Sus scrofa: one gene and its partner. The protein of the gene in region 2 binds, or shares a complex with, the protein of the main gene of each other region. Links are inferred from orthologs where the notes say so. Each region holds a gene or a part of one and is shown on either strand. Other genes may lie near its edges.

What was found. Proteins that work in one complex are often made in the same cells at the same time.
Region 1: the proteins of GNAI2 (region 2) and CCKBR are in contact, whole or in part, in a cryo-EM structure (PDB 7F8V), measured with the Homo sapiens proteins. The link is inferred for Sus scrofa from reciprocal best matches to the Homo sapiens genes GNAI2 and CCKBR. Residues at the interface, in NP_002061.1 of Homo sapiens: Glu28, Ala31, Arg32, Glu33, Val34, Lys193, Leu195, Thr220, Phe337, Thr341, Asp342, Ile344, Ile345, Asn348, Leu349, Lys350, Asp351, Cys352, Gly353, Leu354, Phe355; in NP_795344.1 of Homo sapiens: Thr87, Thr89, Arg152, Ala155, Ile156, Pro159, Leu160, Ala162, Arg163, Val164, Thr167, Ser169, Ile241, Gly248, Leu249, Lys328, Val331, Leu335, His394, Arg396.

The regions. Positions count from the first base shown.
Region 1 is NC_010451.4:3,416,653-3,420,926, reverse strand, and holds the start of CCKBR (gastrin/cholecystokinin type B receptor), read left to right. Parts: upstream 1-1,413; 5' UTR 1,414-1,504; coding exon 1,505-1,649; intron 1,650-4,274. UniProt on the Homo sapiens protein: Receptor for gastrin and cholecystokinin. The CCK-B receptors occur throughout the central nervous system where they modulate anxiety, analgesia, arousal, and neuroleptic activity.
Region 2 is NC_010455.5:32,711,384-32,715,703, forward strand, and holds the start of GNAI2 (guanine nucleotide-binding protein G(i) subunit alpha-2), read left to right. Parts: upstream 1-1,489; coding exon 1,490-1,607; intron 1,608-4,320. UniProt on the Homo sapiens protein: Guanine nucleotide-binding proteins (G proteins) are involved as modulators or transducers in various transmembrane signaling systems.

The DNA.
Region 1 (4,274 bases), on a different chromosome or scaffold from region 2:
ACAAACAGCACATCAGGCTGCTCTGGTGGGGAAGGCAGGCAGTGCCAGGAGAAGGGAGGGTGAGGTGACACCAGTCTCAGTAACCTCAGGATTAAATCCTCCTTCAGTTCCCACCCCCTACAAACTCCGTGCTCCCGGGACTGAGTCCTCTCCAAAGGACGGATTGAACAAGACTCTGAACTCCCAAACTCAGACTTCAGCCCCCGTCTAATGTGCTCACGGACTAAGAACTCTCGCCTCTGACAGCTGATGCTGGAGGCTGGAGAATGGAATTCCAGGTCCTAAGAGCCTTTCTTTGGAATGAAGAAGAATGATATCCCGCAGGGCTGAAATATTAGAGGAGGCAAGTCCTATGCCAGAAGCTGAGCCCACCGCGGTGCTGCATGCACCCTTGGGTTTCGTCCCCGCGGCACCAGGGCGCACTCGCCCCCTTCCTGCCCCCTCCCGTGGGAACCCCATGCCCTACAACAGGTTGCTCCACCTGCAAACAGGGAGCGTGAGTGTGTCGGGTGAGGGTGGGCGCTGCCTGGAGACCAGGGCCGAAGCCAGCCGCCTCTGCCCAGGTTATGCCTACACTCGGCAGGGGATGGAACCGTGCCCCACTCGCTCGCTTCCCACCCTACCCGCCTTCATCCCGGGCAGCTCTCACCTCTACCCACGCCGCTTTCAACACCCGAGTCACTCCTCCTCTGGACATCACTCTCCCCGACCAGGGTTCCCCGGGGACAAATGCCGCCCTCTCCCCACCCTCACCGTTGCGTAGGGCTTCTTGGGCCCTTTGGGCAGAAGCCTGGGTGTTGGGCCTAAGGTCGGAGCAGGGGTGCGGGAGCAGGTGGAGGGGCTACCCCAGCTCGGCGGCGAGGAGCTGCAGGGAACTGCCAGCGATGGTGTCGCCGTCCCTGCGGCCACTGCGACATAGTAAGTCACCTGCAGTGCTCCGCTGGGTCAGGGCATCAGCGCGGCCGCCAGTGCACCGCCCCTCCCCAGCCCAACCCGGTCCCAACGGCCACCTCCACGTTCTCGGTGCCACAAGGTAGCCGCGCCCCTACCCCACCCCTCTTAGGATCGCTGCTTCCCAACCTTCCTCCCCGAAACCTCTCCATCCAACCCAACGCGCGCGCGCGCGCGCACACACACACACACACACACACACACACACACACACACACACGAGAATTCCCAGAACCGAGACGGTGGTAGAGGGGAGTGGGCGGGAAGGAAATCTTCCCAGGACTGGAGGACAGTCACATGGGGTGGCCGGGGGCGGGGGCGTGGAAATAAGTCCGGAGCCGGGGAGCAGGGCGGAGGGAGAGTCACCTGGCGGGACGGAGGCGGCCCCGCGCCCGGGCGGGGCGGGCAGAAGAGGCGCTGAGGCGCGGGGTTCGAGGTTGGGGCGGGGACCAGGCGGGGCGCGAGCCTCGGCCGGAGGCGCCGCGGGCGCAGGTGGAGCGGCCGCGGGAGCCCGGCCGGCCGAGCGCGGGGAGGCGGCGGCTGGGCCGGGGCCATGGAGCTGCTCAAGCTGAACCGGAGCCTGCCGGGCCCCGGGCCCGGGGCTGCCCTGTGCCGCCCAGAGGGCCCCCTCCTCAACGGCAGCGGCGCGGGCAATCTCAGCTGCGAGCCCCCACGCATCCGCGGAGCCGGGACCCGAGGTGGGTGCCTCCCCGAGCCCCCTCCACGCTGCACCCCGCGAGGCCGACAGAGGTAGTCGGACGCCCGCGCTGTCCCCTCGGAGTACCCCCCTCAGTCCCCAGACAGCTCCCCTGCCACCTTTGTCCCCCTAAAACTCCATCGCACCTACGCACTACCTGGTCAGAGCCCTTTCACGCCCTGCTCCCTGGCCACCCTGTAGCTTCTGGTCACCCCCAAAACGCAGCGCCTCCTAGTCAGAGATGGGGAAGGGGAGGACCGCCCCTGGCCAATCTTCCCAAGTCTCTCCTGTCCTTTTACACCCAGTGCGGGGAGCCACCACGGGGAAGGGAAGGGAGGTGGGAGGACGAGGTTGGGGTAAGAGGGGAGCTGGCTCGGAGAGGGAGCACTCCAGAAGGCCTGCGTGGGAATTTGAGTTACAGTGTCCTGCGTCCCCCCGCCCCCCCCCCACAACCCCTTGCCACCCGGCAAGAGTACCCCTAACCTGAATTAGGCTGGACATGGGACTGGGGACTGCTTGGGGGCGGGGCGGGGGGGAGGCTGTCCCCATTTCTCTCATCCTCAAATCCCCTTGCCTCCCAAGTGGGAGCTCTTCTCAAAGCTCTAAACCCCCCTGCTTTTTGCTGTCTCCAAGTCCTTTCTAAGCCCCTCCTCCAGCCCACCTCCCCTTAGGGTTCACCCTCCTACAGCCCGGCTGCCCACTTCATCATCCTATCCCTTTGTGCCACCTCCCCCCCAACCCCCACTGCTTCCACACACCCAGTCCCCAAAGTGACTTTCACTCTTGCCATCAGCCAACACCCACATTTCCTTGACGACCCAGCTCAAGTCATGGTTTTCCCCTTCCAGTACCTTTTCTTTCTTAACTGGTTCCTGGACACCTGCAATGACAGTCCCGGGGCCACGGGCTGGGTACACGGGGATGCACTAGACCCAGGCTGGACCCTCATCTCCAGTGCAGGCAGGAGACAAAAACCAATGGGAAAATGACATCAGCGTGGGACTCCCCAACGAAAGCAAGCAAATCATGGGCAGTCAAAGAGGTGGGGTCTGAAAACTTCACAGAGGGCTCCTTGAAGTTCAAGTTCCATGGGCAGAAGAGGAAGAAATAGGATGCCAGGAGAGGGAAGAGTGTTAAGCAGAAGGAAATGATTCCAAGCTCAGGAAGGGAAAGTGGGAATAAATTGTAATGCAAGTATTTATTCCCCCCCCCCCGTAAAGTATCGCATGCTTCTCAGATCGGTCGCTACACGCGCTCTTGTTGTTACATTGAGGTTCTTTTATTCAATAAATATTTATTGAACCAGAGATGGCGCTAGGCATTAGGGACATGAGGAGAGCAAAACTGACAAAGCTCCTATTTCAGGGAGCTCACAGCTTAGTGACAGAGACAGACAAGTAAGCAGAGAATTGCCAGTCAAGGCAGGCAGTGCCTTGAAAGGGGTGTGGGAACACAGACGAGGCATTCCTGCAGCCTGGCCCAGCCTTGGGAATCAAAGTTGGCCTCCTGAAGCAGTAAAGCATAAATTGAACTAAAAATTAAAAAGCCAAGGGAAAGCCAGCCAAGCAAAGAGGCAGATAAGGCAAACAGCATCTCAAGCAAAGGAATCGTAGATGCAAACACCCAGAGTTTAGGTCCGTGGCCGTTTTGTTCGGTGTGTCATAGTTTCTGAGTGCCTGAGACAAGTACCGGAGAGGAGAGTGATGAATACTCGGCTAAAGAACAGGCTGGAAGCTTTCCAGAGAGCCGTGTGGACCTAAGACGTGCGGGTTTTATCCTGAGGGCTGTGGGAGCTGCCAAAATTGCAGTACTACTGCCAGGATTAGTCCTGCAAAGCAGAGGATGGACTGGAGGACAAGAGACAGGAAAGGGGCCTCCTTTAGAAGGTTCTTATATGACACTGGTCCTGGCGAAAGATGATGCTGGCTCAGACGAAACGACTGGCAGTGGATGGAGAGAAATGGATGGATCTGAGAGGCGCTTCCGGAAGTGGCATCAACAGAACTTGATGATTTATTAGAAATGGTGAGAAGAGGGCGAGAGGTGACACCCAAGTTTCTGACATGGACAGCTGGCTGGATGTTGGGCCTATATTGTGAGAGGGATACAGAGACACAGAAACAGGTTTGAAGGAGGAGATGATTCATTTAGAAACCCACTGAGTTTAAATGAGGATGGGGTCGGATGAGGAGAGACTGGCATCCTTCAGACTCGGTGACAAGGAAGCCCTCAGAAGGTGCTGTGGCTGTGAAGGCCTGACTGGGACAGGCTGAAGTTTGGGCCATGAGGCAGGGGTTCTGAGAGGGGGACCACGGGGTGTTGACAAAACTTATCAGAAGTTTGGTAGAGAGAGAGACAAAGGAAAACCAAGACAGTGCTCGAAATAGCATGAGATCGAGGAAGAGAGAGAGAGAGAGAGAGAGAGAGAGAGAGAGAGAGTGTGTGTGTGTGTGTGGTTTGTCTTTTGAGTGTGTGCATAGCAGAGACAAGAGCATTTTTAAAAGTTGATGGAGATGGGCCAAGAGAGGAGGAAGGCTGAAGTGCAGAAGACAGCGGCTAGTCTGTGAAGCGGTTCAGGGCACAGGTGCAAGAACTGGCCTCCCTCAAGGGGACACTGCTGCCCACA
Region 2 (4,320 bases):
GGGAGGGCATTGTGTATTTTCAACAGGTTTGCTGCATGCAGGGCCTGCCTGAGATTTGGCTCCAGACAGGAGGGAGCCCTGGGGAGACCAATGGAAGGCTTGGAGGACAATGGCTGCTCAAGGAGGGAGCAGATGAGATACGGACACACACACACACACACACACAAGGGAGCTGAAGCAAGGTGTGTGCCAACATGGTGAGGAGGAAGTCTATGCTGAAAAAGACTGTGGGTGGCCAAGCATTGATGACCAAATATTGGTGGCCAGTTCCCTTCCTGGCTTTGTGAACCTTCCTTGTCTTTGAACTGGGGCCTCGTTGCATCAGGTGACATCTCTCCCTATCTTTTTCCCTCTCTCTCTCCTCTTTGGGTCATGCTTGCTGGGTCCCAGGTTGGAGTCCCAGGATGGCTACCTGCAGGAGAATACCTCCCAGAAAATCAGAAAAGGATGGATGTCTTGGATGATTAGAGAAGTTATCCCAGTTGAATGAGATAGTCTGGGCAAAGGTGGCATTAGACCTTTTTCTCTTTCTTCTTTTTCTTTTTCTGTCTTTTTAGGGCCGCACCTGGTGCATATACAGGTTCCCAGGCTAGGGGTTAAATTGGAGCTGCAGCTGCCCGCCTACGCCACAGCCACAGCAATGCCGGATCCGAGCCGCATCTGCAACCAACACCACAGCTCACAGCAACGCAGGATCCTTAACACACTGAGCGAGGCTAGGGATCGAACCTGCGTCCTCGTGGGTACAAATCAGATTCCTTTCCGCTGAGCCACGACAGGAACTCCTCTCTGTCTCTATCTCTCTTTTTTTAACTGCAGCTTTGAGAGAGAAGGGGCCAAACCCACTTTAAGACGAAGAAAAGCGGCAGTCCAGAGAGCCTCCGGGGCGCTGTAGATCCCAAAACAAGTTTATTGGGTTCATTAACTTTAACAAATGACGAAGACACGCCTCCTCTACTCATCTCGCTCGACTCTCAGAAGCTTGGAGGGCTGGTTCCTGCTTGGCCCGCGAGGTGCACCGGATCCTCATCCTCGGGCTACGAGATCCGCCCGCCCCCGCCGTCGGGCAGCGGAGCTCCAGGCGCTCCGCACCCAATCGGAGCCCGGCCCCGCCTGCGATCAAAGCTTCTGTGCTAGGCTCTACCCCTACAGCTATCCCTTGGCGTGGCTCCGCCTTCAGCCCGCACCGAGTTTGGGCTGCGCCTAACTTCTCCCTCGAGCCAATCACTGACCCCGGGTCTCCTGTGGCCCCGCCTCCGGGCCCGCCCCGGCCCAGTCCTCGGCCAGACTAGCTCGGGCCCCACCCCCGGCCCGCCCTGCCGTCGGTGCGCGGCGGCCTGGAAGGCACCGCCTGCAGACGCTCGGAACTGCGGACCCGAGAGCTACCCGTAGAGGGCCGGCGGCGGCGGGAGCCGAGTGGGTCGGGCGGGGCCGAGCCGGGCCGGGGCCGTGTGGTGGCCGGGCAGCGGCCGGGCCGGCGGACGGCGGGATGGGCTGCACCGTGAGCGCTGAGGACAAGGCGGCGGCCGAGCGCTCCAAAATGATCGACAAGAACCTGCGGGAAGACGGCGAGAAGGCGGCGCGGGAGGTGAAGTTGCTGCTCTTGGGTGAGGCCGCGTCCTGCGCTGGGACCCCTGATTCCCTACCCAAATTCCCTACTTTGACCTGCGGACTAGTGTTTCGAACTCCCACACTCGGCCTGGACTTAACCCCGTAGACCCGCCTGGCAAGGACATACAAATAAATAATGGATCAAAACTCAGGGTTGGCCTAGACCTCTCAGATCCAGAGCCCAGACTCTAGATCAGACTCAACTCATCCCAAACCCCGGGCCCCCAAACCCAGACACTGGTGCCTCAACATCCGCTGCCCAGAATTCTGTCTGACCATCCACCCTTACTGACCAGCCTCATAGACCTTCGGAGCCTCTGCCTTGTCTTTACATCCTTACCTAGACTTTACCCAAACCCCCAGAATCCCATTCAGACCCCATCCTCAGGCACCACCTGTTCCCTCACTAGCTCCCCCTCTTCCTATTGGGCATGAGTATCTCCAGGGGCCCCTCCCAGGCCCCCACTCACTCCCTCCTTTACCCTCTGTGCCTCATCTTCATTCTAGACCCTATATCCTCCACCTGTGCACCTTGACCCCAAGAGACCTCTCAAGTGGGATTTTGGTTTGAACTTATCAAATGAGATGATTACTTAATAAGCTCTCCCTCCAGCCTTTAGAGACCCCCCCCTGCTCCCTGCTCTGCCTCTGCCTCACCGACTCCCTCTCTGCATGCATCTCACCTCAGATCCTCTGCTCCCCAGCTCTTAAGTCCTCTCTCACACTCTGGTCTTTTCTAGATTCCCCCACTCTTCCTGCACCAGGTAGGCTGAGCTGGGAAGACAGGCCCCAGACACCTAGGGGGCTGGACTGAGGCTCCACTTGGTCACATCCGGGAGGGGACCAGGCCTCAAGCTTCCCAGAGAGTTCTGCGGGCTGTCTATCTGCTTCCTAGTTTCTAAGCCCTGTCTGGGCCGGTGGGTGGGGGGAGGGGGTGTCTGGGAGTAGGAAGGAGTGTGGAGGAGTTCGGGTTGCGTGGCCTCCAAGGCCAGGGAAGATGGTGGCTGCTTGAGGGGTGGGGGGAAGTGGAAGTGGTGAGACAGCCGACATATTGCTGCCCCCGGCGGGCAGGCCAAGGAGATCTGCTGACGGGTGTGGGCCTCCCACACCCCTTCTGGGCCCAGCGGCCTGGGACATGGCCTCTGGGAGTAGGTGGGCTTGTCGGATCTTGCCCTGCGAGGGAGGGAGTGGTGGACCAGCTGGTTGAATAGTTGGGGGCCCTCTAGGGTGGGCATCTGAAGTGGACTTGTGCAAAGACTGTGGGTCTGGTAGTGGTCCCTGTCCAGCCTCCCACTGCGAGCAGGTGTGGTGCCCAGTGGCAGCCTGATTTAGAGGGATTTCAAGGGGGAGAGGGGAGGGAGACCCTCCTGGCATCGTTGGAGGCTGGACTGTATATGTGGGGGGGTGTGGCCCCTCATCCCCAGAGCTGTCTTGGGGTCCCCAGGCTGTGAAAAGTGGGGCTTTTCACGCCGGGCGTATGGCTGAGAGACAGGATGTCTTCCATCCTGGGCTCATCTGTTGACTGTCCCTGGGGGCCCGGCCTCAGGGGCACAGCCCCGGAGATTTCAAAATGGCATCCGCTCAGCCGCCGCCGCTGCGGGGAGGAAGAGAAGGGGCGGGAAGGGGCGGCGGCCCAGCCTCCTGGGCTGTTTTGCGTTGGGCGCTTGCCTCTTCCTGTCTCTGCTGCGAGTGCGGCAGCGGCAGTGAGTGGCAGTGAGTGGGTGTCACCGCGGTGGAATGCCCATCTCTGCTGCCCGTTGGGCCTGGGGATGGTGCTTCCGGTACTGCTGCCTCCCAGTGCCCGGCCGGGGGCCTCTAGCCAGCCCCTTCCAGGCCGATGGCAGTTATGGTGGCTCCTGAGGAGACCTGAAATTGGGCCATGGAGCTGGGGCACACAGAGCCTCTGGCCTGTTCCGCGTCTTGACCCTATCCCACCAGTCTTGCTCCTTGAACCCCAGCTCCTGTTTTGGGCCTGGAGACCCCTCCCATACTGGGCTGGCAGCAACCAGGGGTGCTCAGCATTTTCTAGGCTGGGGAGTCCATCTCAGCATCCTGGCCCTCTGGCCTTCTCTTCCTTTGTGAAATGGGCTTCCTGGGTTTGGGCCAGAGGAGTGCTGTGTCCAGGATGGGGAAAACAGGGCCCTCGTGGAGTGGGGGTTGGGGGCTAAGATCCTGCAGAGGATGCATCACCAAAGGGGCTGGAGAGGATGCACCACCAAAGGGGCTGGGCCACCAAACTTTGCCTGAAATTGAGGACCTGATCTGCCAGGGCTGCGTGGGGAAGGGTCCTGGCTGGCCATCCCTTTTCCATCCAGGCACAGGGAGGTGATGCAGTTGAGCCCAGCTGAGGCAGCTTCAGAGTGCTGGGCTCCTGTCCCACGTAGCGGGAAAGACTCTGTCCAGGCAACGGGACTCAGGCTGGGCAATTGCCAGCCTTCCCTCCCAGCCAGAACCACGCCTGCTGCCCCACCCGCATACTGGCTCCTTCCTGTCCTGGGTAGCCCTGCCAGCGAGCCGGCACAGTCACTGTCACCAGGGCAGAGGCAGATGTGGAGCACAGTGGCAAAAGAGTTTTTCCTGACAGCTTGGTAGGGGGAGCAGAGTTGCTGATATCAGTCCTACTTCAGAGATGCCCTCTCTCCCTCACCACCCAGTTCAGCTTGACTGATCACCTATCCCCGGGTATCCCCAACTATCCCCAGTGCCCTT